Linked DNA regions of Notamacropus eugenii. The protein of the gene in region 3 interacts with the protein of the main gene of each other region in a pairwise test. Links are inferred from orthologs where the notes say so. Each region holds a gene or a part of one and is shown on either strand. Other genes may lie near its edges.

The links.
Region 1: the proteins of kxDL motif-containing protein 1-like (region 3) and LRRC45 interact in binary tests that used the Homo sapiens proteins (3 or more experiments, as listed by UniProt). The two-hybrid records come from large-scale screens. The link is inferred for Notamacropus eugenii from reciprocal best matches to the Homo sapiens genes KXD1 and LRRC45.
Region 2: the proteins of kxDL motif-containing protein 1-like (region 3) and MAP1LC3A interact in binary tests that used the Homo sapiens proteins (3 or more experiments, as listed by UniProt). The two-hybrid records come from large-scale screens. The link is inferred for Notamacropus eugenii from reciprocal best matches to the Homo sapiens genes KXD1 and MAP1LC3A.

The regions. Positions count from the first base shown.
Region 1 is NC_092873.1:326,373,012-326,382,805, forward strand, and holds the start of LRRC45 (leucine-rich repeat-containing protein 45), read left to right. Parts: upstream 1-6,062; 5' UTR 6,063-6,103; coding exon of another isoform or gene 6,104-6,250; intron 6,251-6,620; exon of another isoform or gene 6,621-6,710; intron 6,711-6,798; coding exon of another isoform or gene 6,799-6,985; intron 6,986-8,036; exon of another isoform or gene 8,037-8,146; 5' UTR 8,147-8,201; coding exon 8,202-8,433; intron 8,434-9,159; coding exon 9,160-9,221; intron 9,222-9,777; coding exon 9,778-9,794. Other genes in the region: CENPX (centromere protein X), read right to left, coding at 5,803-6,062, 6,104-6,250, 6,799-6,985. UniProt on the Homo sapiens protein: Component of the proteinaceous fiber-like linker between two centrioles, required for centrosome cohesion.
Region 2 is NC_092872.1:418,663,582-418,673,894, reverse strand, and holds MAP1LC3A (microtubule-associated protein 1 light chain 3 alpha), read right to left. Parts: upstream 3,820-10,313; 5' UTR 2,715-3,819; coding exon 2,675-2,714; intron 2,007-2,674; coding exon 1,951-2,006; intron 1,881-1,950; coding exon 1,774-1,880; intron 1,015-1,773; coding exon 852-1,014; 3' UTR 183-851; downstream 1-182. Other genes in the region: DYNLRB1 (dynein light chain roadblock-type 1), read right to left, coding at 6,888-6,931, 9,911-10,078. UniProt on the Homo sapiens protein: Ubiquitin-like modifier involved in formation of autophagosomal vacuoles (autophagosomes). While LC3s are involved in elongation of the phagophore membrane, the GABARAP/GATE-16 subfamily is essential for a later stage in autophagosome maturation.
Region 3 is NC_092874.1:283,500,862-283,510,805, reverse strand, and holds the start of kxDL motif-containing protein 1-like, read left to right. Parts: upstream 1-5,600; coding exon 5,601-5,652; intron 5,653-9,944.

The DNA of each region.
Region 1 (9,794 bases), on a different chromosome or scaffold from region 3:
GAAATCAAAACTATCAATAGTCATATGAAAAAATGCTCTAAATCACAATTTGATTAGAGAAATGCAAATTATAACAACTCTTGAGGTACCTCCTCATACTTATCAGATTGTCTAACATGACAGAAAAGGAAAATAACAAATGCTGAAGGGAATATGGGAAAAATAGGGATACTAATGCACTGCTAGAGGACTTATAAATTGTTCCAACTATTCTGGAGAACTGGGAACTACGCCCAAAAGGCTAAAAACTATCCACACCCTTTGATACCACTACTTAGTCTGTAAGATCAAAGAAAAGGTAAAAGGACCTAGATCTATATGTACAAAAATATGTATAACAGCTTTTTCTATGTGGTGGTAAAGAACTGAAAATTGAGGGGATGCCCATCATTTGGGGAATGGCTGAATAAACTATGGTAACAATTGTGATGGAATAATATTGTGCTGTAAGAAATAACGAGCAGGATGGTTTCAGAAAAATCTGGGAAGTCTGATATGAACTGATGCAAAGTGAAGTGAGCAGAACCAGGAGAACATCATACAGAGTAGCAGCAGTATTATAACAATGGTCAACCATAAAAGATGCCGCTCCTCTCATCCAGACAATGATCCATGACAATTCCTAAGGACCCAAGATGAACACTGCTATCTACCTCCACAGAAAAAACTGATACAACTTTGAGTGCAGATGGAAGCACGGTTTTTTCACTTAAAAAAAAAAAATTACCATCTGGGAAGTCTGTATTTTATCCTAGAAGCAAAAGGTAAGAACAGAGGTTTGCTATGGTCAAACATATTCTGGAGAAGACTTTGGCACTATGTAGGAGAGAGAGAGTGGAAGCAGGGAGACCAATTAAGAACGAATGCAAAAAGCCAAAAGAGAAGCGATAAAGGCTCAGTAGAGTGGCTGTGTGAATGGAGAGGAGACAGCTGCATGAGATGTTGTGATTTAGTTTAGGAGGGAGGGAGGAGGAAGAGACTTTGATGATTCTAAAGTTGCCAATCTGGTTAACTAAAAATATAAGATAATAGATCTGGAGCTGAGAAGCACTTAAAATAAGCCATGTAGTTCAACAAATCACTCATTTTACAGATGAGGAAACTGAGGCCCAGGGAGGTTAAATGATTTGTCCAGATACACTGGTAGCATCAGAGGTAGGATCTGAACCCAGATCTTCTGCCTCCAGAACCAGTAGTCTCTTCACTGTACACACTTAATGTAGCCTCTCCAACTCACCCACCCACCCCTATGCCCCAAGAAATAGAGAAATTTAGAGTTCCATTTTAGACATGTTGAGTTTGAGATGCCTATGATACATCAGTTTGTTGGTATCAGTTGAAGGTCTCAAGTTTGAGAGAGATATTAGAGATGGATATATATAAGGAGAAATTTTAGGAGTCATCAGCACAGAGGCCATAGGAACAAATGAAATCACCAAGAGAGACAATGTTGAGAGAGAAGACAAGAGGCCCAAGGTAGCCGGGGCCAGGGGGAAAAATACCTTCTTGCTTAGAGTAGCAGGAAATAGATGATGATCCAACTGTGGAAAATAAAGATTAGTTGGAGAAAGAGAAGGAAAACAGCGTTATGTATGTCTAGGGAAGACATACATATAAAGGGAGAGGTCAAGTAGATGTTGAAGTGATATAGTCAATAAGACTTGCTACCTAATTGGTTGGAGGTGAGAGAAATGGAAAAGGGAAGAGTCTAAGATCACTCTGAGGTTGTAAATATGGAAGACTATTAGGATGATCAACAAAAATGGGGAGATAAAGAATTCTGTTGACCAATAGAGTTTGATATGCCTAAAAGGCATTCAGAGAAGCTATATAATAGGCAGTTGTAGTGCAGGCCCAAGGTTAGGACTGGATATAATAGATTTGGGGGGCATATGCAAAGAGATAATAGCTTAGTTCATGGGACCTGTTGAGAGCTGGAAGAATGAGGATGAAAAAAGAGGATGCACAAAGGAGACATAGAACGAAAGAATAAATGATGATCCAGGTGAAAAAGACTGAGATAGGAAGAAAACTAGGAGAGAACAATCATGGTAGCCAAGGGCAGAAAGAGCTCCAGAAGGAAGGCGTGATCTAAGAGAATGAGAACTGAGAAAAGCCTATTAGATTTGGTAGTTTAGAGATAACTGATAATTATTTAGGGAGCAGTTTTGGCTGATTAGTGATTTATGAAATGGAACTGTAAGGGATTGAGAAGTGAGTAGATGGAGGAGGCTGTAACACTCTGGAATGTGGACAGAACCACATTAAAATGTAATTGGGAAATACTTAACAAGATAAATAAAAATATAAAAGAACACAGATAATGTTGGGTCTTCTAAATCAACATAACAGAGATCCTTATTTACTGTCTAGTGGCCCATTTCTCTTTGAGTTTGATATCACTGGTATTCAAAAGTGGGGTCAAGATTCACAGTTTAAGAAGCAAGGGGTCGCAAGTAGAAAAGTTTAAGGAGCCCTGATGTAGATGATTCTTTCTAAGAACTTGGCAGTAAAAGATGGGAGAGATATATGATAATAGCTTAAGGGAAGGCAGAGTCAAGGTGGGGTTTTCTAAGGACAGGTAGGTCTGAACATGCTTGTAGGCAGTAAGTGTCCCCTCAATGGAGATAATTTTCAGGCAGTCACTAGAAGAGCATTTGTCCAGTACATTATAAGCAAAAATTCCTTTTCAGGTATGTTTTGGACTAGAGAATGACTATGAAAACATTCCAACTTTAAAATTCTGTGATTCTGGCTTTAGTTTCTTTCATTTCTTACTCCTGAACCATATTTTCCAACTTTTTTTTTTTTTGGCCACTCTTGTTTATGCCCGTGTTAACACCAGAGTCATCAAGTATCATATTGTATGTTGTTTTAATTTGGAGGCCCTAATGGAGTTCTTCAGATTTTATCTCACCCTCCTCTACAACTGATGTTGCCTAACTACATATGTTCACAATGGTCCTCTTGCACAGTGAGATACCAGAAAATCAAATGTCCCATGAAATGATATTTCATGTTGTCTTGGTACACACAATTAAACAAATTTTCTTCTGTTTCTGTTCACAGAGAAAAATGTCAAGATCAATATGATTCATTGATCTCACTTTTAAGGTACCAACAGTTAAGTTAATCTTCATAGACTGTCTTTAAAACTATGTAATTCTGCCTTGTCTTTGCAGAAGCAGAAGGGGACCTCCCAGTCTAAAAGGACCATTTTGTACTTTTCTTAGTTTCATCAGCTGCAGTAGTCATCAGTGAGTGGCTATACCATTTAAGCTGGTCATCAAAAAACAGTCTACTCCATGCCAGGACTGAACTCGACATCTTTCCAGAATATGAGGTAGATCTTAACTCTTCTGGCTTAGGTTTTGAGAACCTACAGTCACCTTCACAACACAGAGAGGTTTCACAGTAGGACTTCTAGTGACTCGGATCTATACATTCAGTTTTGCATTTTCAACTGCCTTCTAGCTTCTTTCTTTCTACGTACACATCCCATAAGCACCTCAAAGTCAAATGTCCAAAAATGAATTCATTTTCTCCTTTCCAACTACCTCTCTCTTTGTTGTTTTTCAGTCGTTTCTCAGTCATGTCTGACTTTTTATGACCCCATTTGGGGTTTCTTGGCAAAGATACTGGAGTGGTTTGCCATTTCCTTCTCCAGCTCATTTTACAGATGAGGAAACTGAGGTAAACAGGGTTAAATGACTTGCCCAGGGTCATATAGCTGGTAAGTATCTGAGGCCAGATTTGAATTCAAGATGAGTCTTCCTGCCTCCGGGCCCAGCACTCTATCTACTGAGTCACCTAGTTGCTCCTCTCTGATGTTCCCTAATTCTGCTGAAGAAACCACAATCCTCCCAGATACCTGTGTTCACATGTCATAGTCATCCTAGTCTCTTCTTTCTCTCTCCCTCCTTCTCACCTACATACAATCAGTTGCCAAATCCAGCTGATTCTGATTCTGCTTGAACATCTCCAGTGACTATAAAAACCCCAATTTAATGCCATCACCAATTAGACTATTTCAACAGTCCCTAATCAGTCTCTAGTTCACATGGCTGATGAAATAATTTTCCTAAAGCACAGGTCTAACTATGTCACTCCACTGATCAAAAATCATCAGTGCCCTCTTATTGCCAAAGTAGATCAAATACAAATTCCTTAGTCTGAAGTTTAAGGTCCTCCACAATCTGGTTCCAACCCACTGAGCATCTTTGCAAAGGCTGTCCCTCAACCCCCAAGTGTAGAATACAATCCCTCATCCATAGCCTAGAATGCTGGACTTCCTTCAAGGCTCAACCAAAGAGCTTCCTCCTTCAGGTAACCTTCTCTGATAGCCCCAGGTGAGTTGTTTCTTTCTTAAATAGTCGTAGAATATTTGGTACTTTTCTTTGCCTCCTTCATGCCCTCCATTGTATTATAAATTGTTCTCATGTTTCTTCTTTGAGGCCAAGTGTGTGCTTCGTCATTTCTCAACATTCATTTTCTATTATTTTACACACACACACACAGATAAGCTTTGCTTATTTCACTCTGCATCAGTTAAGTCTTTTGTATTTTCTGCAATTTGCATTCTTTGTAAAATTCTTTGATTCTCTAATTCAATGTTTATTAAAGAACAGTAATATTACATCATATTCATTTCCTTCAATTTGTTTAGCAGTCCCCAATCAACAGGTATCTAGTCTGTTTCCAGTTCTTTGCTACCACAAAAAGTGCTACTATAAAGCCTTTCTTCCTGTTTTTAAAAATCAATGACCTCCTTTGGGTATATGTCTAGCAGACACTTTATAAAAATGTCATTTTAAAGCTTACAAAGCACTTTACATTTGCTATCTCGCATATACATGGTCTCATTTGAATATCATAATTGAAGTAGATACTGAAGGTTTTATCTTCATTTTTCAGAGGAGGAAACTAAGTGTCACAGAGGCTGAATGACTTGCTCCAGGTCATAAAGCTACAAAGGCAGGATAGGATCTCAATTGTTCCTGACACCATTTAGCATTCTAGTAACTATGCAGAGCCTATTTTTTCTCATGTCCTTTCAGGAAACAAGCATTTATTAAGGGCTTTACTGTGTGCTAGAGGGGCAGCTAGGTGGTACAGTGGTTAGAGTTCAGGGTCTGGAGTCTGGTAGACTCATCTCCCTGAGTTCAAATCCGGGCTCAGACAATCCCTGGCTGTGTGACCCTGGGCAAGTCATTGTTTGCCTCAGTTTCCTTATCTGTAAAATGAGCTGGAGAAAGAAATGGCAAACCACTCCAGGATCTTTGCCAAGAAAACCCCAAACAGGGTCATCAAGAGTCAGATCATCAAGGAGCCCACAGTTTAAAGGGGGAGACGACATGCAAACAATTATGTAGAAACAAAATAAACTGGGATAATCCACAGAAGGAGGACAAAGGAAAAAGGCTTTCTGTTGGTGAGATCTGGCCAGGAAGGCCAAGAGACGGAGCGTGCAAGGACCGGGGAACAAGCAGGGAAAAGGCTCGGAGTCGGGAAATGGGAGTGTCCCGTGCGAGCCACAGCAAGGAGCCAGTGTCGCTGGCCCGGGGGGGCCGTCAGGTCTGAGAAGACTCGGGAGGGGTTCAAAGCCAGAGCGGACTCGGCCTCGGATCCCACGGCCGGTCCCGGCGGGGTGGGACGCGCCCTGGAGGAAGAGCACCACTTTTTCTCTTATTTCCCAAGAGGTCCTCTCTCCCGCGCACTTCCCAGACCCAGGCGCTCCCCGTCCCGGCCTGGCTCCGCGGCCTCCGCGGGGCGCCCGCTCCCCGAGCACAGACCAGCCCCTACCTTCCTAAAGCTAGGACCTTCTTCCTCCATCTCAGCCGCAGAGGCCCTCGAAGAGTTCGGAGACCCCGCCCCGGAGGTCTCGTACCAGCCAATGAGAAGCGGCCGCGGGAAGAGGCCGCGGCGCCGCAGCTTGCCGCTCCAGCTCCCACCTCTACTACTACGGACGTTAACGCATGCGTGCTCTCTCCTCTTTCGGCCGCCCGCCACGGGACTCCTCCTAGAGAAGGCCTCGTGAGGGTTCCTGGGACTTGTAGTTCCTGCTGCCTCCAGGCTTCAGGCTGAACTACCTTTCCCAGCGTACCTCGCACTTCCTGGTTACTGAGGCGCTGCGGGCGGCGGCCGGTGAGTGAGGTGGCGCTTCCCACCCCCCACACCTCCCCCCCCCCCACCCGCGAATGCGGGTGCTGGAGTCGGAGTGTAGCTGGGGGAGATGTCCTCGAACCCACGCCTGTGAGGGTGGGGGGGGGGGGGGATGAAGTAGATGCGACCCCACTACCAATGTCTACCTTTTACCCTGTAACCAGGATACACCTTGTGGGAGGGGGGACAGCACGTCATCCGCCCCCACTCCGCCACTGTCCCCTCCCCAGACAGTACCCTCGACCCCACTACCCTTCCCCCATCGTCGCCCCTTCCCTCCTATACTGCCCTCTTCACGTTATCTCCTCCCCATTCACTTCTCCGCCTCTACCTCCTCCACCTCCTTAATACACTGCCCCTCTCTGCACTCTCTTTCCTGTACACGGACCCCACCAAACACTGCCCTGGTTGATGAACTTTTCTAGAGGACCCCCCATAGAGTCCCCCATCCACATTCCACCCCACTCACTGTCCCCATGGCTAACATGAGGACCTGAGATACGGTCCTCCCCAGCATACCGCTCTCTCACGGAGACAAAATGCAGTTTGTAAGTATTTTATTAAAACACTTACTGTGTGCTAAGCACTGGAGGTAGAAAAGTAAGACCCTCCTGCACTCAAGGAGATCAGTCTAACCGCACACGTGGGAGGTTTCAGGGTGCTGAGACGGCAGATGGCAATGCCCCTTCTTTAACGTTATGGCCACTGATAAGATCACAGCGGTTCCTGTGTGGTACCGTTTGACAGTGCCAAGGACTCCGGGGCAGAACTTTGTTTTCTGGGTCTGCAGGAGCAGTTGCCAGGCTGCATCTCCACAGGGCATGCTTTCCAGGGTGACGGGACTCCCGAGACTTTTAGGTTCAGAATCTTGGAAGCATTGCTGCTCCCAAGGCTGTCTGCATCAGGGTTCAAGGGCAGAGGGTGGCCAAGATGGGGGTGGAATTTGACCTGCCTAGCCCATGCCTGTTTCCTATCTCTTTCTCAGGATGCCTTGCTACTCCAGCTGGGCTAGTTTGCCTGACCTTGTGTGTGGCAGCTGGGTGAAAGTTGGTTAAGGATGGCTGGTCCCTTCTCCACAAGAAGTTGCTTCCCTATACAAATGCTGTGAGAGGGGGGTAGGCTGAAAGCTGGACTGGTGGGCTTGGGGCCTGTTGTTACTCCTAGGGCTCTTGTGCTCATCTGCCTGTTGGTGGTAGTTAACAATTATTGCTGGTAGTGACGAGAAAGGTGGTCCCTCTCTCCGCAGGGATTTCTCCCCTTAGTGATAGCTGCAGGAGCTGGGCTGGAAGCAGGTCTGGTGGTTTGGGAGGCACTGTTATTCCCAAGGCTCTTGGGTTCAGGGTTCTAGTTTATCTCCAGTGGGGTATGAAGGAAGATGGTAATCAAAATTGATGGTGATGGGTTGATTTTCTAATATGCTTAGGACTGCATTATGTTCTTAAACTTCTTTGGGGCCTTACTTTCTACTTACCCTGGGAATCATCCCAGTAAACAAGGGAACCTCCAACATGACACAGCCCTCATACCTAGGATCTTCATTTTATGTAGATCTCCTACATGTCTCCTCCCTAATTCCTCTGCCCATCCTGTCCTTATCTACCACAATAACTGAACTGGCATTTTTGGGGGGAAGAGGGGAAGGAAAAGAGGAAAGAGGAAGAAGGACCTAATGATTTTGCAGCACTTGCCCTGCTTTTTCTAATTTCATCCTGCATCCCTCATCTTGTGAGACAGTATCTCCCATATCTAGTCTTAAAGTGAATTGTTAGAAACTGTACTGTTATCCATCATCCAATCTCATAGCACTTTATAGTCCTTTTATGCATTTGTCATATCCTAATCTGTGTTTTATTTATCCGTGTATATCTTGTTAGCAATGGTGAAAGCAGCTTGGCTCAGGAACATCATGCAGCTCTCCCAAGGATGGAGTTGATCGCCTCATAACTTGTGAGGCTAGTTCTCTCATTCTGGAATTTCTCCACAGAAAAGTTGGACTATAAAGAACATCCTGAGGAAGCCCCTATAATTTTCCTGGGACAATGGAGGAGTTCCGCCGTTCCTATTGCCGACTGTGTAAGGACAGTGGCGCTGAGCCTCAGGAAGTGGTCCTCAAGCAGCTGCATGATTTGCGGGAGGGTCATCACAAGAGCAAGCTAGACCTGGCCACCCAGAGCTTGTCTATTGACACCTGTGGAGCTCTGGGGAAGCTCCTGCAAAATGACATCCTATTTTCAGTGGTCCTTCTAAGTGACTGCATGATGAGTGAAGAAGGTGAATGATGGTTCTGGGCACTTGGTCAGATTCTAAAACCTCTGGCTGCTGTTTGGGCTTGGGTAGTTCTGAACTCCTTGTCCCAGTCCTGGGTTCAGATATGTAGATTTTCTGAAACCTCCATCAGCATTTCATTTATTGAACACAAACTACTAAGGTTCCCACTCAGAAGCCCAATCCTCTAAGTCTCCTTCCGCTCTAGTGGTGTCTCTTCTCCTAGCCTCATTCTAGAGTGGAAAAGCCTAGAGGGTTGGGAAGAAAGTTTTTCCCTCTTCTACAAGGGACTTGAGGCTAAATATTTCTCTATAGACCTAGATTTCCACAACAGCCAGACTCTGTGTTGGCTTAGAAATAAACTTTTTGTGTGATAACAATTCACCTCCATGAACATCAGTTTCCTTGATTGAAATCTGGCAACCTTTCCTGAGTAGGCATGATTTCAGCTTGAGAAAATGCATTTTAGACTTTAAGATATTGTATAAATATAATTTCTTATTATCAGTGGGAGATTTCCTACAAGTCTCAACCTAACCTGGTAGTCAGTTTGGCTAGCTGATTGAAGTGAGTTGGAGTAGCATTTTGTTGCTATGATCGTGACCAAACTGAAAAAAAAAAATATCTTTTCCTGAGTGAGTAGCTGCCTGCAGATAGGCAAAGGAGAGTATAAAGAGATGACCCAGGGAACCTTGTATTCCAAGAAAAAAAATAACTCTTTTTCTCTTACAGGATCCAAACTGCTCATACAAGGACTTTGTTCAAATACAGTAGTCAGATACCTGGATTTAAAGGTGAGCAAACGGAAACATCTCACAGTAACACCAGACCCAAAGAGCCATGGGGAGAATAGAGGGGAAAATGGGGATTGATAAATGTTTATTGTGGAGTAGTTTCTGGTGTCCTATGGAAGCATCTCAGATGCTTAGATTTCCCTGAGTTTGGACAGTTACAGCAATATTGTTGGAGTGGCCTAGTCAGAATCATTTGTCTAATTGTGATATAGACATATATCTTGAATTCATAAAAATTCTTAGACTCAAAGGTAGAGATCATATATCTCCTACAGTGCTTAATATATAGTATTGAATGAATGAATTATTGAGTGGCATTGAGTCCCATGAGGGAATGATGTGATGCCAACTTTGAGGAAAACATATCTTTTTTAAAAAGGCAGTCCCTAACTGCTTTCTTCAGTGTCTTAGGGAACTATACCTAAGGGTCAGTCTAGCTCCAATTTCACCTCATAGCAGGGCAGAGCACACAGATAGGCTCACTCAGAAGGTAAGGCTGTCACATTGAGAGTCCAGCCTTCAGGAGGGTGAATGACTAACCATTCATCTGTCCTAGGGTAATAACCTTCGAGC
Region 2 (10,313 bases), on a different chromosome or scaffold from region 3:
TAAAAAAAAAAAAATCAAGTTTCCTGATTAAAGTAGCAGAAGGATACCAGCCTGAGTCAGTAACTTACTGTAGCCTGTAGTTCTGGAGAGGAGAAGGGGCCTAGCATCTCATCTGCATTTTGTGTCCAGAAGGACCAGGCTGTGCTGCTGTGAGAGGCAGAGAGGGAACACTGGCCCAGAGCTGGGTAGGACTTGAATTTCTCTTTATTTATACATAGTAATGGTAGCTCAAATAGGCTGGTCCTCCAGGACACTGTGGTACATAACATGGAAGGAACAGCAGGCAGGGTTGTGGTCGCAGGGGGAAAGCTCAGTCCTTGGAGTGGCTGCCAGCACAGGATGGGTCCAGACTGCATGCAATAAAGACAGGAGGGACAGGTGCCTAAAAAAAAAAAAACAAAACAGACCAGAGCCAAGGCAGGGCCAAGGCCACAGGTGCCCACCCCCCTACCCCCTCCCAACTTTCAACAGGGGCCACCTTCAGAACTGGGAGGGGGCAGCCATATATAGCTATATCTGTATTTTCATCCCCCCACCTAGACACACAGACAGACAGAGCGGCCCCCAAGGCTCTAGCATCTGGGGGTAGCACCGAGAGTTGATATGTGTACAGAGTTGGGATAGATGAAAATTCCTTGTTGACACAGGATGTCTTCTGCTTCAGCCCTGGGTGGGCAAAGTCCTTTGTTTGGCATTGATCTAAGCCAACCACTCCTGCTTTGGGTCCTGGGGAAGGGGCCCAGAGAGGGGGTAGTTAGAGGCAGCTTTATAGTTCTGGAGTAGGGGGCTGGGCTGCCCCCCTCCCCAGCTGCTATCTTCCCAGGGCCAGGATACTCCCTGCCCCTTTTTGCTCAGTAGCCAAAGGTCTCCTGGGAGGCATAAACCATGTAGAGGAAGCCATCTTCATCCTTCTCCTGCTCATAGATCTCCGAGATGGGTGTGGAGACGCTCACCATGCTGTGCTGGTTCACCAGCAGGAAGAAGGCCTGAGTGGGGTTAAGTTGGAGTCTGCGGCTGCATAGGGGAGAGGAGGATCGGGGGAGTCTGTTGGAAAGGCAACAAGACCCTCCAACTCCCAGCTCTGGGCCCTGACACTGGAGTTGGAGGGAATCTCTGAGCTCTCTAGTCCAACCCCTCTCCCCACTTCCTGACAACATCTCTGAGAAGAGTCATCCATCCATCCTGCCCAGTGGGAGGTCCCAGAGTCGTCCTGCCTCTTATTGGATGGTTTCGGGTTTAGGCAGTTTCTACTGACCCAAGCTGTGCCTCCTTCCATATCCTTATTCCCACCTCCTGTCTCCCACCCTTGAAGGCTCAGGGCCAATCCCTCTTCCACATGGCAGCTCTTCTAATACAAGAAGATAGCTATCATGTCTTCCCTAACTTCTACAAGCTAAAACATAAACTTACTTCCTTTCAGTAATTCTCACAGGGCATGAATTCTACTTCCTTTCCATCCTAAACACTATCCGGTGGATTGATTTGAGTTGTCAATGACCCTCCTTAAGCACGGTCCCAGAATTAAATGCTGTATTCTAGATGTCAGCTGACCAGGGCAGAGGCAGAACGAGGGAACCTTCTCTCCCCCTCTCCCCCACGTCGTAGACACCACCTCTATTTCACGATGCCTGGAATGGCACCAGCTTTCACGGCTGGGACTGTCAAGCCTGGGGTCAGATTCCCGAGGCACTGCCCTGGTCGGGTGCTTTCCAGCCCAGACCAGGGGGAGGTGAGTGGCTGGAGGGAGTGGGAGTTGGGGTGTGCCTCACTTACCGGATGATCTTCACTAATTCACTCATGTTGACATGGTCAGGGACAAGGAACTTGGTCTTGTCCAGGACAGGCAGCTGCTTTTCCCCTTTGTATCGCTCGATGATCACCTAGCGAACAGGCATGGGTAAGAGGAAGCGGGGGGCGGGCCCTTGGGGCGGCCCGGGCCCCGGCACTCACCGGTATCTTACTGGGGTGCTGCTCGCGGATCTGCTGCACTTCCTTGCATCTGTCGGCTGCAAAGCAAAGGGAGGCGGGGGTGAGGCCCGGCCCCGGGCCGCAGCGGCGGACCGTAAACAAGGAGGCGGCGGCTCCCACCCACGCGTCCGCCCCACTTCACCAGCCTGGCCTGGACCCAGCTCAGGGGGCCCCTCCGAGCACGAGCACCGCCCCCGGGTAGACAGCCAGGGCCGCGGCCCGAACCGAGACTCAGGCTACCCGGAGACCTCAGCCATCCACCCAGCCAAACTCCATGCCCGGGTCCAGGGCTCCCCCGGCCTGGCTGGGAAAGGTCGCTGCGGACGGTCGGGCTGGGGTGGGGCGGGGGGACGCGGGACCCTCCCTGGCCCCGAGCCAGCCCCCTCCCCCGCCCTGGACACTCGGAGTAAACACTCCAGGGCTGCGGGGGAGGGGCCTCGTCTGTCTCCTCCCCCCAGGCCCCTTAAAGGGCAAACTCGGGGTGGGGGAGGGCGGACCCGTCCGGGAGGCCGTCCCTGGACCTCTCGAAGTGGAGCGACCCCAGAATCGCCCTCCTGCAATGGGACCCTGCGGGTATCTGCGTGACGCCACGCGTGCCCATGACATCATCGGCCGTGGGCTCTTCCCCCGCCGGCAGGTCCCGGGACGTCTCGCAGAGTCCCGGTCGGATCCCACAGCCCCCCGCCCTACCCCGCCCTGGCCTCACCGAAGCTTCGCCGCTGCTTGAAGGGCCGGTCGGAGGGCATCGCGCCGGGGTCCTGGGTCGGGCAGGGGTGGGCTGGGGCGGGAAGGGAAGTTCAGGGTCAGGGATCCAGCTGTCGCCGCTGCCGCTCTGGTTCTCCGTCGCGCGCGCTCGGGCTCGTTCTGCTTCTCAAACCCGAGCAGCTGCTGCTCCGAGGAGATGGTAACTCGGTTCGGTGACGTCACTTCACAACATTCCTTAAAGGGGAGGCTGGCCTTGCCCTGCCATTGGGCCGACGAAAAAGCCACCCCATCCTCCCACTGACCCCGTGACGCACAGGCAGCTCGGGCCAGGAATGGAGGCCTGAGGAGGCGGGGCTCCCGAGGAGACATCGCCTGCCTGGTCGCTGCCATGACAACCGGTAGCCGCGCATCTCCGCTCTGGACCGCGACGTCGCATGCCCCGCCCCCTCAGGGTCTAAGTTGGGGCCCCCATTCCGGGCCGGGACTGGCGGGGCGTGCCCGGGCCTTCAGCCGCCGGCCGGGCCGGCAGCAGTACGGACGAGGCCTGCAGCCAGAGGTGCCGGCTCTGCCCCACGGCAGGCTCCGTAGGCGGGGTCCCCACGGCCCCCCAGTCATGCGTTCCCCAGGAGACACAGCCCTGGTTTCGAGAAGAGGGATCCCAATGGCAAGGAGTGGGCCAGGATGTCTAGGTCTTTCCAGAGACACTCAGGACTTGGAGCCGGAGGGCGCTCGGGGCCCATCTAGTCCAACGGAGGAGGCACATGCCAACTTGCCAGGCTCTGCCCCTGGCACTCAGTGACTTAGCAGTACCAAAGTACGACCCAAAAACTACATCTTCTGGCTCTTTCCAATATACGTCACTCCCAACTCATATTGGGTAAGTCCCAGGACTTTTCTGGGCCTCAGTTCCCCCACCCAGGTAGTTGAATTAGGTGATGTACAAAGCCTCTCCTAGATTACTTATTGTTCGGCCTGGTTTCACGAGCGCAAGGTTCGGAATTCTGAGGACTCCTCCAAGTACGTTCATTGCTCCTGTTTGCAGAACGACTTATTACCTGAACTTCACAGACAGCCCCCCATCCCCCCTTCCTTTTCTTTAATTAAATTAGAAAGCATTTAATACTTAATAAAAGCAAAAACATGGCTCGAAATCTTGCCAGGGTTTGTGACAGGAAGAGGGGAGGGAGTGAGTGAGATGATTTTCAGACGCTGATGTTTGAGAGGAAAATGTCAAAATATAAAATTCACGATGAGGGCTTGTTTAAATGCCGTCTGGTTTCAGGGGAAAGGCTACCAAGCAGTTTCTGTCTTCCAGAAGGGCAGAGGGAGTGAGGAGAGAAGCTGCTGATGGAACAAATGATTAACCCTTCCCGTCACCCCTGCCTGTAGCTACTCCTTTAACTCCCCTCTTGCCTTACTAAAAACTAGGGAGTTTTGGAGATTTGTAAAGAAAAACGTGTTCTTGGTCTTCCTCTCAGAATGCCAAAAGAGGTATGGTCAGGAGACAAACGATATACCAGTCATTGGCTTTACCCTGCAGTGGAGTGCAGGAAGCCTGGGTCCCAGTGCTGGTCCTGCTTCAAAGGGGTGGTTTCCTCAGTAAAAGCAGCTTTTCAGATTCTAGGATTCTAGAGAGTTGCTTCCTTTTTTGATTTATGATCAGGATGTCAGTCCTAGTTTCTGCTCAGTGCCTTGAAGCGGACTGCACAAAATGAATTCTGCCTCTAATGACTAGGAGAGAATTATTGAAGTATTTGCAAAGAACACACAAGGATGATGTAGATAACCAAATTTGAAAGAAGCAATTTAAACTGAGGCTCTTCCACTGACACACAAAGGCCTGCCTGGTTCCTTGAAATCTTGGGATGAGAAAGTTTCTTCAGCAGTCCCAGCAAGTGACTTAGGTACCCAGGGAGCTTCGACTCATTTCTGTATGGAACTCAAAAAAGTGGCTATGGATACTTTTCAGTGGAGGAGAAGGGAAGAGAGTCTGGTATCTGGTGTCCAGGAGGTGTCAAGGGTATCTCTCCTATGTTCAGGTTACAGCTAAGCTACAAGATGTCCCACTGGGGGAGGCAAAGGATGGAGGCAGTTGAAAGATGGCAGCATTGGGGCTCAAGGGACCATCACAAAACCCTACCCTACCCACAGTGCCAGGGTAGGGGCCCATGTCCTTTTATAAAGGCAGGAAATCACTCAGTATATGCCAGACCTCAAGGCTGCCTTGGCCTCACTATCCTCCTCTACACCTGATGCACAGGAAGTTGGTGTTGGCCCTTACATGCCAGGTGTTAGTTAAAAGTGGTGTTTGCACCCTCATGCCACACAAACACCTTATTTCATGTGATGTTTCTGAGAAATGGAAAATAGGCTGTTCCAGAAAAAGTAATTTTCTGGTAAAATTCTCTGGGTTATCCCCCAAACCCCTTTTAATAGTAAAGCCTTTCTGCTGAAAAATCTTCAGAAAATGTCTAAAATCATTTTCTCTACAAAATAGCCTCTTATGTGGTCCCCATACCCTGGTCTCTTCCCACCCAAGCTTCAGAAGCTATCCCTCCTTTCCCTGCTCAAAAGCCTTCAATAACTCCTTTTGGCCCCCAGTCAAAGTACATCATCCTCAGTCTGCCTGGAATTTAGAGGCCTCTACACTCAGAGTCCTACCTACCTTTCTAGGCTTAGTTGGCCCTCTTCCACTAGAAATTTTCTTCAAGGTTCAACTTAAATGCTACCTCGCCCCTCAGAGGTACTTTTGTGCATCCAGCAACCTTGACTTCAGAATTCCATGCTCTTCATTGTCTTTGTGCCCCCAGAGTGCTCAGGACCTGTGACTTTATAAAGTATAAGTAGTTCCTGATAAGGAATACAGAAAGAAAGTAACATCCAGTCTGTTTCCTGGGGTGGTGAGTGGTTAAGTGATCTGTCCAGGGGAGTATGTATGAGGTAGGACCTGAATCCAGGTTTTCCTCACAGATTAGTCTGCATGATGCAACACCAGCTCCCACACAGTAAATACTTAGTGAATAACCCTTTAATTGGTCAGGAGCATCTCAGGGACCCAAAGGAATCTTTCTTTGTAGGGAATCCCCCAGGGCCTCACGACATCAGTTAATTTTTCTTTTCGTCTTTTCCCCAAACATGGAAAGTGCTGCTGAAATGCTCATAGAAAGGTGTCTTCTAAGCTGGGGTAGAGCTGATCATGCTTCTTCCACAGGCTTCCCTCCTGGTCCTCGGGCCACCCCTTCAGACTCCTCCTCATTTTTCAGGGTCACTTCCCCAAATCCTTTGCAGGTCCCTCCCTCTGCTCTACTACTATGGGCCTGTGAAACTTGGTCAGTCTCTGTGCTGGAACAAGAGCAGTGCCCAATGGGGCTCTAAGTCTCCCCAGACCCACTGAGTGTGGCTGCAATGTAAAGATGGATGGTTTCACATTCCCACCAGTACCTGTCCTCTGGATGTTCATCCCCTTCAAATCCCTTGGAGAGGCCACACCCTCAGATCTCACCCCTCCCCCCACAAGCTGCCATTTAATTCACAGGCTGACTCCTCTACTAGGTCTTGGGATCATAGATTTGGAGGTGAAGGCCCTCTGAAGGTTATCTAGGTCAACTCATTTTGCTGAAGAAATTGAGGTCAAGAGAAGGGAAATGACTTGCCCATGACTACAAAGAACTCAGCTCTTCTAACTCTAATGTACTTTTCCCTAGATCCCCTGCTGCCTGCTTTGTCCTCACAGATCCAGGTTCCAGATCTCAACCCCCACCCTGCAATAACTCATGAGCAGACCTTCCCACCAGGGCATTTAAAGATACAACAAAAGAACAATCGTTACAGTTATTTTTAGTTCCTTTTAAAACAGCAACAAAATTAAAACCAGAAGCCTAGAGCCTGGATTGGGAGGAGGGAAGGCCTGGCCAAAGGGGAGCTCAGACCTTAGGGTGTGGGTACCAGCCCAGGCCATTAAATTTGTCTCCAAGGGCTTTCTTCCTGATGACTGAAGGCTACAGTTGCAGCCTCAGAAGATTCTAGATGGATAAAAGGTTAAGAAAATCAATTTGGGCCCCGCCCTGGGTCACATGATCTCTGCAAATCCAGTCTGACATCATCATTGTTTTCCACATGCCATTCAGTGGTGAGAGGGAATCAACAGGAATGCTTTCTTTCAGGGAGACTATTAAATTAAAGAAAAAAAAATATGGCATCTCGAATATGGCAAATTATTCTGTTGGATTTTGGATCACAATCAGGAAATAATCTTTATCTGCAAAAAGAAGAAAAGACATATGTCACACACTGATTGCTGACTCCAAGTCCAGGCTCTGCCACAAATTTGCTCTGTGGCCTTGGACAAGTACTTTGATTTCCCTAAGCCTCAGTGTTACAGGAGTGATGGAATTAGAAAATCAGAATGGGACAGATCCAGGCCAACCCACACCTGGAAAATAATTCCCACTACAACAGATCCAATGAGACAATTTGGCCTTTCCTCAAAACCTCCAGGAAGGGGATCCCACTACCTTCAAAGGCACCCCACTGCACAGTTCCCCTTCGCTGGGGAAGGGAGGGTATCCCAAGGGATGGCAGGGCTATTGTTGCTTTACTCCTGAATGTGACCCCTCTCTTTATTCTGACAAACACTGCCTTAGCCTTCTTGGATACATCATCCTACGGACTCATATACAGAGTTTGCAGTCCACTAAAAGCCACCGATCTTTTTTGGATGAAACACTGTCTAACCAAGCCTCCCTTCATTTGTACTTGTGAGGTTAATTTTTAAAATCCAAGTGTCAGACCTCACATTCATCCCTATGAAAATTCTTATTATTCAATTCAGCTCAACATTTTAGCCCATCAATATCTTTTAAAATTCTGTTTCTGTCATTCAATATATTAGCTATCCATCCCCTACCCTAGATTTGTATTATCTGCAAATCTGATAAGGATGCTATTTTGCCCTTATCTAAATTATTGATTAAAGAATAGGGAGATTCAAATTCTGGTTTGAAGCATCTTTGTTTCCCCTAAGGCAACCTTGGAAATAGCCATTTGCCCAGACTGGGGGCAAGAATATGTGTGGTAGAAGAAAATGCAGACATCTTTTACACCATGGGGAGGATAGGCTGGTCACAAACTGTATGGACTCCTCAGTTCCTCGAAGGCAAAGGACAGGGTCTTCTTCATCTCAGCCTGAATCTCCAGTGCTTAATCCAAGGCCTCTCATATAGTAAATCTTGACTAAAAGTTTATTGAAATGAAAAAAGCATGTAATGGCATTTCAAGTGTAAAAAATTCAGCCTCTTCATCCAAATTACTGCAAAAGAGCAAGTGTATTCGATCCAAGTTAGCCCTCTTGCCCATGAATTTATCTTTTGTATTTGTTTGGAACATATCTTGTGTAGACTTCCTTGTGAAAGTGTCCAGGGAAGAGACTGTCATTTCTGTAGTGGTGTCTCTACCATCTGTTACAGTGCAATATACCTAACTGATGCTTAATAAATTCATGCTGATAGACTGAAATATAGTTCTTGTTCCTGTTTCTGTACTTATGAGAAATGATTATTAATAACCAATAATTTGCAGAGAGCCAGTTTCCCCATTTTTTAAGTCTTCATTTGGCAGTTCTGTCTCTGAAGGACACAACTGATGATAATAGATGGGATTAACATTATCCTCAATCTAGGGATTGCTACCTCACCCAATTTTACTAGGAATTTAATCTGAGGTGAAATTGGTCCATGATGTTTTACTCAGGCTTGGGTGGGGGATATAGATCCTTTGTCTAGATTCCCTGAGGCTGGGGTTGGTTTGGGAGTAAGAGTGACATAATCAAAGTCACATTGTCCCAAGTCAACCATTAGAATAAATCTACCTCATTAACTGTTAACCAATCAGAATTGATAGCCATCCTCAGGAACATTCACTCTTCCAAAGGCACATAAACTGTGAAGTTCCCCTCCCCCCATGTGTCATCTTTGGGCTAAGAGAGTAAGCCAAATGACCATCCCTTTTATTGATAATATACTAGCACTATTAATAAAATATTTATTACCTAGAAACTATGTCCATCAAACTTTTGTGACTGACTCATTAACAATGTAGACCAAAGGCATCAAACTCAAAACTCCAACCAGATTAAAATGTTACTGGGAGATGTTTAACAAAATACATAAAAATTCAATACAGCATAGATTATGCTAATTTCTATTTGAGATGGTGTAATGCTAATGAGTTAAAAGATCTTCCCCACCCATTAATGGGCCTGCCCATTAAGAGAAGTTTGATTGGGGGAGATTTTTTTTGTTGGAAGGCCAGCACCTTTTGTTATTTCTAATGAGGCACTGGTTCTCAAGGCTTGTGATGCCCTCTGGCTCTGAAAAGTGTATATATATACTCTGAGGTGAGGTTTGACTTTGGGGCTTAGTTTTTGGAAGAAGGTTTGTATGCCAGATGAGACTATGGGAAGCTGATAAGGAGCTCTACCCCCACCCCTCAACCCAGATGTTGGTGCTTCTCTCTGGTAACTATGTATGTATGTAACTGTGATGTATGTATTGCTTATGGTCAGACAGTTGGAAGCCCTTTCTGTTGATCTTATTTCTCTGTTTGTATTTTGTCTGAAGTTCAGGGTGTTCACTTTTCCCTTGAACTAAGTGAAGGATATATGTGCTTAATTAAAGTGATTGCTGACCCCTCAAAAGTTGCTTTCCTTTTAGAAAAGCAGATCTAAGAACCTGTACAGCAGACCCTTCTGTGTATGTTGGGGTCCTTGCTGTTACAGATGGACATCACTGGTGTAAACTAACATTGATAGTTTCCTTATTGTGACAGGAAAGATCTAGACTGTACAGGTTGGTGTCTGTGGCTACTAACACTAAGGGGATTGTTATATAAAGAAGGCTGGACTAGATGAATTTTAGGATGCTTTTTACCCCTTGAAGTCTAAAACATGAGGCAAGTCAAGAAACACTGGCAGTGGGGTATAAGTCAGAGAAATACTCCAGTGACAAGTCACAAGAGCAGAAATCAAGTCCTGTCAAAATCCCCTGTGTGACCTTGGGTAAGAAAATGAACATTCTCTGAGCCTCAGTTTCTCCATCTGTACCATGGTGTACACCATCATCTCTAAGGGCCCTCTAATTCCAGCATCCTATGCCCCAGGGTTCACCAAAGGAAGTTTCTTTTGAACATGCCCAATGAAATCCTGACAACTGCTCCAAGATTCAGGTAATGAGACTCTTACCTGGAGCAACCATGATCTCATTTTTCTTGGAACGAATGCGGAGGAATGTGAGATCATTCTGGGGGTCAATGTCTCGCACAGTACCCCGAGCCTTCAAGATGAAGCTGTGCATCAGATTGGCATACTGCACAGTGGTGGAGTTGTCCATGGTGCTTTTAATTGGAATGCCTGAGCCAATGACAGAGGAAGTAAGAAAAATCAATGCCAGCTCTTCCGCTTCTTCCCCATTCTCATGATTTGTGCTTGTCTCAAACAATAAAACAAGAGACTAATCTTTACAATTGCGAGTTTTAGGGTATAAACAGGGTCACCCATTTTGAAGACAACTCATTTAGAGACCAATAAGGATTGCCTTTGACATGAGCCTTTTTCTTTTGGAAGGGGTCTTTTATCCCAGTTTTAG
Region 3 (9,944 bases):
CAGCTGTGTGACCCTGGTCAAACCATTTAACCTGTTTGTCTCAGTTTTCTCATCTGTAAAATGAGCTGAAGAAGGAAATGACAAACCACTGCAGTGTATCTCTGCCAAGAAAACCCTAAATGGGGTTACAAAGAATCACACACAGCTGAGAAATGACTGAAAAACAGCCACATAGTAACATATTACCTTGGGAAACTCATTTACCTCTCTTGACTTCAATTTACTAATCTGTGAAAGGAAAGGGGAGGGTTAGATCAGAAGTTCCTAACGTTTTTTTCTGGCAGCCTGGTGAAACCTATGGATGAGCACCTTCTTAGAATGGCATATAAAATAAAATATATTACAAAGTAATATATTTGAATACATTATATTGAAAAAGCTATCAAATAACTGATCCAAGTCCATGGATGTCTTGGGGGTCCATGTATCCCAGATTAAGAAGCCCTGGACCAGACAATCTTAAAGTCCCTTCCCTTTATAAGGCTATGATTCATATGTTGAAATTCATCCCTTCATTGTCTGGATGGACGGGGGAGTCATCAGTGAGAGGAGGAAAAAGCACATGTAACTTTAAAGTCTTATTCCTAGCCTCACCACCAAAAAAAAAAGAGGAAAGAAAGCAAGAAATCAAACCACTCTATCATCTTGATATAATAGAAACAACCCTAGTTAGAGAGTAAGAACTCCTAGATTCTAATTTCTAGCAACTCTGTGAATTGTTACTCGTGTGACCTTCAGCAAGTCCCAGCATCCCCTGGGTCCATTTTTTCATGTAAAATGGTGGAGCTGGACCCGGCTGTCTTGAAAGACTTTAAATTCTCTGCTTTCCTAGTTCATCCTTAGACGCTATCAGCTTCAGAGGCACCTGACTGAAAGGGCATTCCTTGTTGCAGAAGAACTCCACACTTTTATTCAAGGCCGGTGGCCTGTTTTTTAAAAACCAAAATCGATACTTTAACCGAAATATTTTTTTTCTGCCACAAGCCAGCAAAATTACTTAATTGATCTTTGTTACCCCTATATTTGTCTTTGAGCCAGAGCATACACATAATGTCCTGTCATGCATTTGAACAGAATCCAGGGTCTGGAAATAAAGGTGAAAAACTGCTGGTGCCATTATTTGGATTTTAAGAGGTCCAATTTTCTTGCTTATTTTGCTGAAGTGAAGAATAAATAATGCATTTTACCTTGGGGGGGAAAAATCAAAGCATTTATTACAGGTAGGTAGCACTCTGTGAAGGGAATGGAGAAAAACAGAGCATTGATTGAAGTTAATTTTGCATCCTTGGGTAAAGACATGTCCTCCTACTGTCATTGTTTGGATTATATACTGCCATCTCCCTCCTCAAATTGCCTTGTTCGTACTTACCTGTGTGTGAGAAAAGAGGTGTTCTGGTCATCATCATCACCTCCAGTCTCCTTCGGAGGAGTAAGCTCCTTGCGGGCTGGGAATGGTTTCTATTTTTCCTGTTGTAGCCTCGTTGTACCTTACACATATGACCACGTTTAGTAAATACTTATTGAATTCATTTGAATTTTACCAGGTATCCCAAGAAGTACTAGCTTCAAACTGCTCTGTGATTTGGGGCATACCCTGAATATATTCATTATATAACAACCAATTTATAAGCATTTATTAAGGTCCCCTCTCCCCACAGCACTGTAATACAAACACAAAATGAGAAAACAGTTCATGGAGCTAACATTCTTTCAAGTGAGAGAATAGGTGCCCCACAGAACCATAGTGAAAGGGGCCTTAAATCTCCTCATTTTACAGATGGGTAAACTGAGGCCCAGAACTAGGAAGTGATTATCCCAAGGTCACAAGACAGTGTCACAAGCAAGATCTGAATTTAGCTCCTCAGTGCACAGGTGTGCCACCACACTCAACTCATCTGCACTGCTTGCCATGATGCACACATATAAACACAAGCGAAGTTAATATGTCTTCCAGCATAAGCAGTTTCACTGATGTGCAAACCTAATGGTATTTGAATCCAAAAAATATTAGTGCTTTCATCAGCACAGGGCTGGAAATTTCTTCTACCAACATCACAACTACTCTGTCTCTCAGTAGCAAGATCCTAGGAAATTGTCCAAAGCTCAGACTTTTACATGACTTGCTCAGGGTCACACAACTGCCAGAGGTCAAATTTGAACCCATGGCTTTTCTGATTCTAGCTCACTGTCTCAACACTCTCCTTAATATCCCCATGATATTTTGTTTCTTTTCCTCAGTATCATTAAGTCTTCTTGGTACCTGATGCAGCTAGCAACATGAAGTTAGAGAATCTTTGGTGCAGAATGATGAATCAGTGAAGAAGCACTTATTTTAGTACTATAATGTGCAAGATACTGGGGGTATAGTCCCTGTCCTCAGAGAGTTCAGTTCTATGGCATGGGGGCACAACAAATGCTTAAATAATTCTTTATACACACACACACACACACACACACACACACACACATATACAATGAAACGTTGATGGAGGAAGTAGAAGCTGGTTGGGGAGCATATGATATAAAACAGTATTGGTCAGAAGATCAAGTTAGGATTGTGTACTAGCCATAAGCTTCTGTGAAAGGCTCCTTCACCAGGAAAAGCCTCAGTTTCCTTGCATGTGAAACTGGGAAAATGATTCTCATACCAGTCATACCTTACTTGTAAAAAGGTTGTGAAGAAGGAACTTAGAATGCTATGTAACTGTGAGTTATTATATGAATGAGAGTGATGAGGATGATTATAATGTAAATAGGAGCCATTCTGTTTCAGAACAATGTGGCTTTCCCTGAATCTATTCAGAATACACGGAAGTTAATTAGCTCCCGGTGGCCCTTACTTCTCAAAGAGCAGGGATTATATAACTCAGTTTTGCCTTTGCCAAGTGACTGCTAATATTAGATGCTGCATTTCTGGGCTTGATAGAGCAGTCTGCAAACTTTTTGTCTCACAGCTCCTTTATACTGTTAAATCAAGAACTCCCCCTCCCTTAAAATCTTTTGTTTATGTACGTTAAATATTTACCGTATTAGAAATTAATATGCCTGGGCATTATTACGAAAATAATTTTGGCCCCCTTGACTCCAAGAAAGGGTCTCAGAGACCCCCAGGAGTCCCCTGACCACACTTTGAGAATTGCTAACTTAGAACCCTGAAAGCGGATGGGAACTTTTTGGTTGCTATGCACCCAGATCCCATTCAGTTCAACAAAACAAACATTTCCTGTGTGTATTCAATTGTGTCCATTTCTTTGTGACCCCATTTTGAATTTTCTTGGCAAAGACACTAGAGTGATTTGCCATTTCCTTCTCCAGCTCATTTCATAGAAGAGGAACTGAGGCAAAAAGGATTAAGTGACATCCCCAGGGTTATAGAGCTAGTAAGTATCTGAGGTCACATTTGAACTCAGGTCTTGCAGACTCCATACCCTGCCCAGGACTCTTATCTCTAGCTACTACACTAAGTAACTAAATAAGCTCTACACTAGATGTGAGGAGCGGCACAATGACAAGTAAGACTTGTGCCCTCCCCTCAGCAGGTTTATAATCCAGTAGGGATCTGTACAAAAGTCAAGCAACCAGTATTTGTTTTTTCTTTTTTCTTTATTTTGCATACAGAATCATAGTGTGAGGATTAGAAAGGGTGTTGATGATCATCTAGTTCAATCCATATACATAAGTAATCTCCACCATCACCTTCCCAGTTAGCAGGCCCTGCCGGGACCTGGTTAGATGCGAAAGATACAAAGTGAGGAGATTACAGCAGAGCTGCATGAAACAATCTGTAGAATTTAGAAATGAGATGGTAGAGTGAACAGAGTACTGGTCAGGAAGACCTCAGTGCAAATTTGATCTCAAATATTTACTAGTTGTATGACCCTGTGCAAGTCACTTCACCTCTGTTTGTCTCAGTTTCCTCACCTGTAAAATGGGGACAATAACCTCTACCTCCCAGGTTGTTGTGAAGGCTAATTTAAATAAATTCATAAAACTCTTTGAAAATCTTAAAGCAAATATCTGCAAAATAAATCTAGGTAATTTTGTGAAAGGGCAGGTAGAGGGCACCATAGTGCACAGAGCACCAGGGCTGGAGTAGGGAAGACTCAACTTCCTGAGTTCAAATCCAGCCTCAGACACTTACTAGCTGTGTGACCTTGGACAAGTCACTTCATTCTGCCTCAGTTTCCTCATCTGTCAAATGATCAGGAGAAGGACATGGCAAACCACTCCAGGATCTTTGCCAAGAAAATCCCAGATGGGGTCACGGAGAGTCGGACAGGACTGAACAAGAACAAAGTAATTTTGTGGGGGAGAATCAACAAAGGTCTCCTGGACAAAGCAGCGCTTGAGGTCATAGGAACGAGGAGATGCTAAGAGGCAGGTATGAGCAGGCGGGGAGTTCTAGGTGGGGACAAAGGCAAAGAGAGGGGAGATAAACCCCATTCGGGAGAAAAAGCAAATTCAGTTTGGCTGGAAAAAAATGTGAAAGGAAGATGATACCTAACGAAGCCAGAAAACCAAACTGACCCAAGTAGTAAGGGCTTTTAAACAACAAATAAATATCAGCATAGGAGAAGGTAAAATATGAAAGAATGTGAGAGACAGAAAAGTGTATCCATTTTCATTTCTGGCTTGGGTATGAGAAAAAGCTGGGTGGAGATCATGGAGGGTTTAGTGAAACTTGAAACATTTGAGCTGACTTTGTAGAAAAATTAGACCTTGTAGACAATAACAGTGTTTCTGGTGGGGGGTACATCATGGGCAAAGGCATGGAGGCAGGAATGTGCAGAATATTTTGAATAGTAAAGAGAGTGATTTGGCTGTAGTTCAGGGAACACTGAAGGAAAAGAGTATTAAAAAAAGACTTAAAATGACATTGCTGCCTGCCTTTTGTGACTAGAAACAAAAGAGAATTTTTAAAACAAAAGCAAGATATCAAGCTACTTTTAGAGACATTTGCCACTCAAAGAAGTTCACTCATAAGAGTGATTAATTCAGTCCAACAAATGTTTTTTCATTGCACTTACCATTAAATTGTGAGCTCCTTTAGAGCAGGAAGTATTTTTTTTTTTTGTCTCTTTTTGCATCCCCAGCATTTAGCACAATGCCTCACAGATGGTAGGTGCTTAAAAAATGTCTATTCACTAACTGATGCATTAAGACACTATGACTAATTTGGGAGATACAAAGATAAGAATAAAGTGAGCCCTGCCCCCAAGGAGCTTAATGTCTACTAAAAGAAGTCAGGAATCCAACCAGGCTTAAGGGATGATTAATCTTTAACTTTTCCTCCTCTACTGATTTGGTTTTATTGATTTTGTTTTTAGAAATGTGCTATTTTTTAAATACATTTTCCTTGAGGAAAGAATCAGTGACCATTGGTGAACATCAAATAACACCATAAAATGAAATAGTATGAGTTTTTCAAACAGAAAGAATTTTTCCAACATATTGTTGCTATGATAGCTATCTTCATACAGTTAGACCAGAGTTATATCTGAACTAGTTTTTTTAAAAGAATGAGAAAAATATATGGCATACATCTGAAATAACTTAATCCTGAACTGTTCAAACAAGTAACCAATGATCAGAAATAGGAAATGGACAACAGAAAAGACAACGACTTTGACTATGATGATGTTATTCTGAAGGGTAACCAGTGTACACCAAGGGCATGAAGAGAGTTCAGAAAGTGCCTAAATCAGCAGATATCTGACTTATTTGCTAAATAGTGAGAGATGGCTGCCAAAGGCAATGTTAGATTACAATATAAACCCATTTATAAAATCTTGTGGATAAGGATGATGGATGATTATGAGCAGTATTGTCTCATAAATTAAGGAAGCAAGCAGTAAGGCAAAAATCAGTTTAAAGGAAGCTTGGGAAAACATTCAACTAAAGAAACTCATCCCAAGGACATTCCAAAAGGGAAGAAGGATTGCAAGAAGAAAATGGGAAAGCTTTGTAAAAATCCTTATAACTAATGATTTCTTCATTAAGGACAGTGAAACAACCATATTTGGACCCTAGCACCACAGTGTGCTTACAGAAAAGGTGGAAATGGCACTAAAGAGCAAAAATACAAGGAAAGCGTCTAGATTAGATACTATTTATACATGAAAGAGATCTGTTTTGTAATCTCCACCGTGGTAAATGCACTGAAGGATTGATGTACTAGGCATCGGAAGAAGGGAAAAATGCCAGTGATGGAAAAAATCTTGGACCTTATTAATATAAAAAATGCAACTGAGAGAACATCAGTAACTACCAGCTTTAATTCCTATTCTCCCATTATGAGAGTCTTATATACACCAATAAAGAACATCCTCAATGGTCGTTATTACTATTAGCTTCTAGTTGCCAGGTCTGCTACCTGGTGATGACTTCATGCCCTGGGCCTTCTACTCCACTCTAGTTAAGTGCAAATAATGTTTATAGAGCAATATAAGGGAGTGACAGCAAATGTTTAACAACCAGACTCTCTAGGGGGAAATGTATGCATACACATTTAAGTCTGATCTGTGTTATTAACCCTTTCTTAAGTCTGAACAATCCACGAAACAGTAAAGCAAACCTAGATTTGTGGTGGTTGCAGATGATCATACAGAGCTCACTTTAGCACACCCCAGAGCACAGGTTTATTGCATTTGTGAGATTTTCCTTGTTGGATAACTGCTGGAATCAATACCAGGTTCTTAATCAAAAGTTTCTTTAGAATCATGCAATAATGGCGTTAAAAAGGACATCAGAGACCTTTGGAACCAACTCCATGACATTCCCAGGATTTAGCTTTTAGTTTCTATCTTGAAACTATGCCTTTGGGTCTAGGACCTGGGTCTCTCTGTCCCTTTGAGAGGGACCTCACACTAAGTTAATGTTCCTGTTCTCTTTGCCTCTCTATTTGTCTCCCACAGTGAGATGATAGAGCTTATACATAATTAGCTTCTGTTTTTACAGCTACCCACCCAACAAAATTGTCAGAACTTTCCAGGGGTTTGTTGGAGGCAGCTGTAACTGGCTTGTGAGCGTCCATTGTTAAATGATCATCTTGAGCATTTATACCTTAGAAAGGAGCAATTAGGGGCAGCCACATGGCATAATGAATAGAGTACCATCCCTGGAGTCAAGAGGACCTGAGTTCAAATTTGACTTACTAGCTGCGTGACCTTGGGCAAGTCATTTAACCCCATTGCCTAGGGAGAAAGAAAAAAATCAGCAATTGCCACAAATCAGAGCCAACTTCATGGTTTTGTAGATTTATAGACTTAAGAAAATGTTAATAATACAAATTAAACGTATAAGCATATGTGCATACGTGTCCTTATCCAGTAGTTAAACATTTACCAGCACACCCCTTTACTACTCCATAAACATTGCTTAAATTGAGTAGGACAGTGGAAGGCTTAGGAAATACACATCACAAGACTGGAGACCAGGTGATTGGAGGCTAATAACAATAATCATGGCTGGCATTATGTAGAATTTTAAGGTTTGAAAAGATCTTTCCATCCATCATCTCACTTGAGTCTCATGACAGCCCTGGGGCTGTTGGGTCTCCCGGTTTTTGAGCTCTCCCACACAGATTGGTGGATGGAGACCAAGTCTTACTCTTTCCCTCTGTAGCCAACTTAAGATGAGGGGCAAGGAAGGTCATTGTCTTCCCCCTTGGTCATATCTTGCCTTTATTTAGACCATGGAGGAAACATCAGAACTGACCAGGAAGTAAAATGATGAAATTTAATCCATGACAAGCCATCCATCCAGTTACTGAATACCAAATCTTTTCTGGAATGTTGTTTTTAAAAATTTCTAGACACTTGCCTTAATCCTCAACAGAAGCAAGTATGTCCTCACCCTTCCATTACCTTCCATTTCTAAGGTACAAGTATTGGGCATACTTATGTGAGTATATGTGCACATATTGTCTCATCTGACAGAATAGAAGCTCCTTGAGGACAGGAAATGGTTCTCTAGAGCCTCATACAGTATCTGGCACATGGTAGATCTTTAAAAAATGAGCGATGGATTTTATTATTAACTTACTTGAAAAAATTAAACTAGTTCTTTGATCTTAGAATTAAAGTCCTTTAAAGAATTAAAGGACTAGGTGACTCTTCTGATAAGATGGATTCATTCATTAATTCATTCAATACACATGGCATGATGAACCTGTGACTCTTGGGACACAGAAGCCATCTCAAAATTTCCCTCCTTCTTATATGAAACCACAGATAGACCACTCATCACTTTGCCCCTCTGTGGTCAAAAATTATGTCAGCTAAGAGAATGTCACTGAACTGGAGGATGCAAGCTATTTATTTCTGTCTTAGATGAGACAAATCACTTGTGTCATTCACCCTAATTAACATTAGGGTGATCATGAGATTAATATTAGGGTGATCATGAGAAAAAGAATCATTGACTTCTAAAAAATAAGTATGAAAAGCTCTCATAATGCCAAGTAGAACTGTTTTTGGTGGGGGCAGAGGGGGTGCCAAACCACTGATGAGGCTCTCCTCTCGATCTAAAACACTCAAGGCATAGTTCATTGTAAAGACAGCTGGTCGTGGAGTCAAACAGACCTGAGCATGAATCTTGCCTCAGACATGTTCTAACTGTGTGGCCCTGGGCAAGTCATTTAACTTTAATAAGTGACTTAGACTAAATGACTTCTGAGTCCCTTTCAGCTTTAAATCTATGAACTGATGAATTTAGTGCTGGTTTTGCCACTTGCTTCCTGTAGGATGCTGGCCAAGTGAATTCACCATTCTGAACCCCAGCTTCCTAAGCTGTTAAAAGGAGATGGGACACAATAGTATCAGCACTAACTACAGCACAGGACTGTTATGGGGATCAAAGGAGAAGGTCTTTGAAGTTGTTTGTAAGTTCTAAAATGCTCCATCAATTTCATAGCTCACCCTATCCCATTTCTCCCAAAATCTATCCTGTCAGTCAGTCAGTCTGTTAATAAGCATTGATTAAGTGGTTACTCTTGCTGGGCTCTGTGCTAAATCCCCGACCTTAAAAACAAATGCAAAAACATAGCTTCTGCCCTCAGGAAATGCACATTCTAATGTGGGGAGGGAGTAACATGCAAATAACTGTGCACATCCAAGACATTTGCTGAGGGAAGGTACTACCAGGGAGACAGAGAAAAGGGAAGACTGGAAAGGTCTCCCATGGACAAGGAATTTGAGCTAAATCATGATAAGCCTGGGAAACCAGGAGGCAGAGGGGAGGAGGGACAGAAAGGGAAAAGACACAGAAGGGAGATGGAATTTTCTTATGAGTGAGAAATAGTAAGAAGGCCAGTGTCAATGGATAGAAAAAAAAATGGGAAATCACCAAGTTATGAAGAAACCTAAAAGCTGAAAAAGGTAAAAAAAAGTCCCTGCTCTCAAAGAGTTCGCAACTGAATGGGAGAGACAACATACAAACAACTATGTACAAAAATATATACACAGAATAAAACTGGAGAATATTCACTAGGAGATGATGATCGACGGTGTCAGATTACAGAGATATCCAGAAGGATGGGGGTTAAGGAGAAGTCATTAGATTTAGCAGTTAAGAGATTAGTAACCTTAGAGAGGGTAATTTTAGTTGAATGATGGAGCTGGAAGCCAGATGACAGAGAGCTCAGAATCAAGAGAAGGCGGAGTAAGCAGAGACACCAGCCTCCACTAATAGAGGTTAGTCACCTCTGGGTTAGTCACACAAAGTGCAGAAGAGATACAGGATGAAGGAGAGCAGGCATGGTCAGATTAAGGGATGATTTTTTTTCTTTTTGAAAGGAGGAGGCATGGACATATTTGTAGGCTGTACAGAAGATAGGGAGAGATTGGATAGTAGTGAGAGTGGGTATAGTAGAGAGACAATCTGCTGAAGAAGACAGGATAGAATGGGATCAAGAACATGTCTTGGGGGAAAGGAGGGTGTTACCT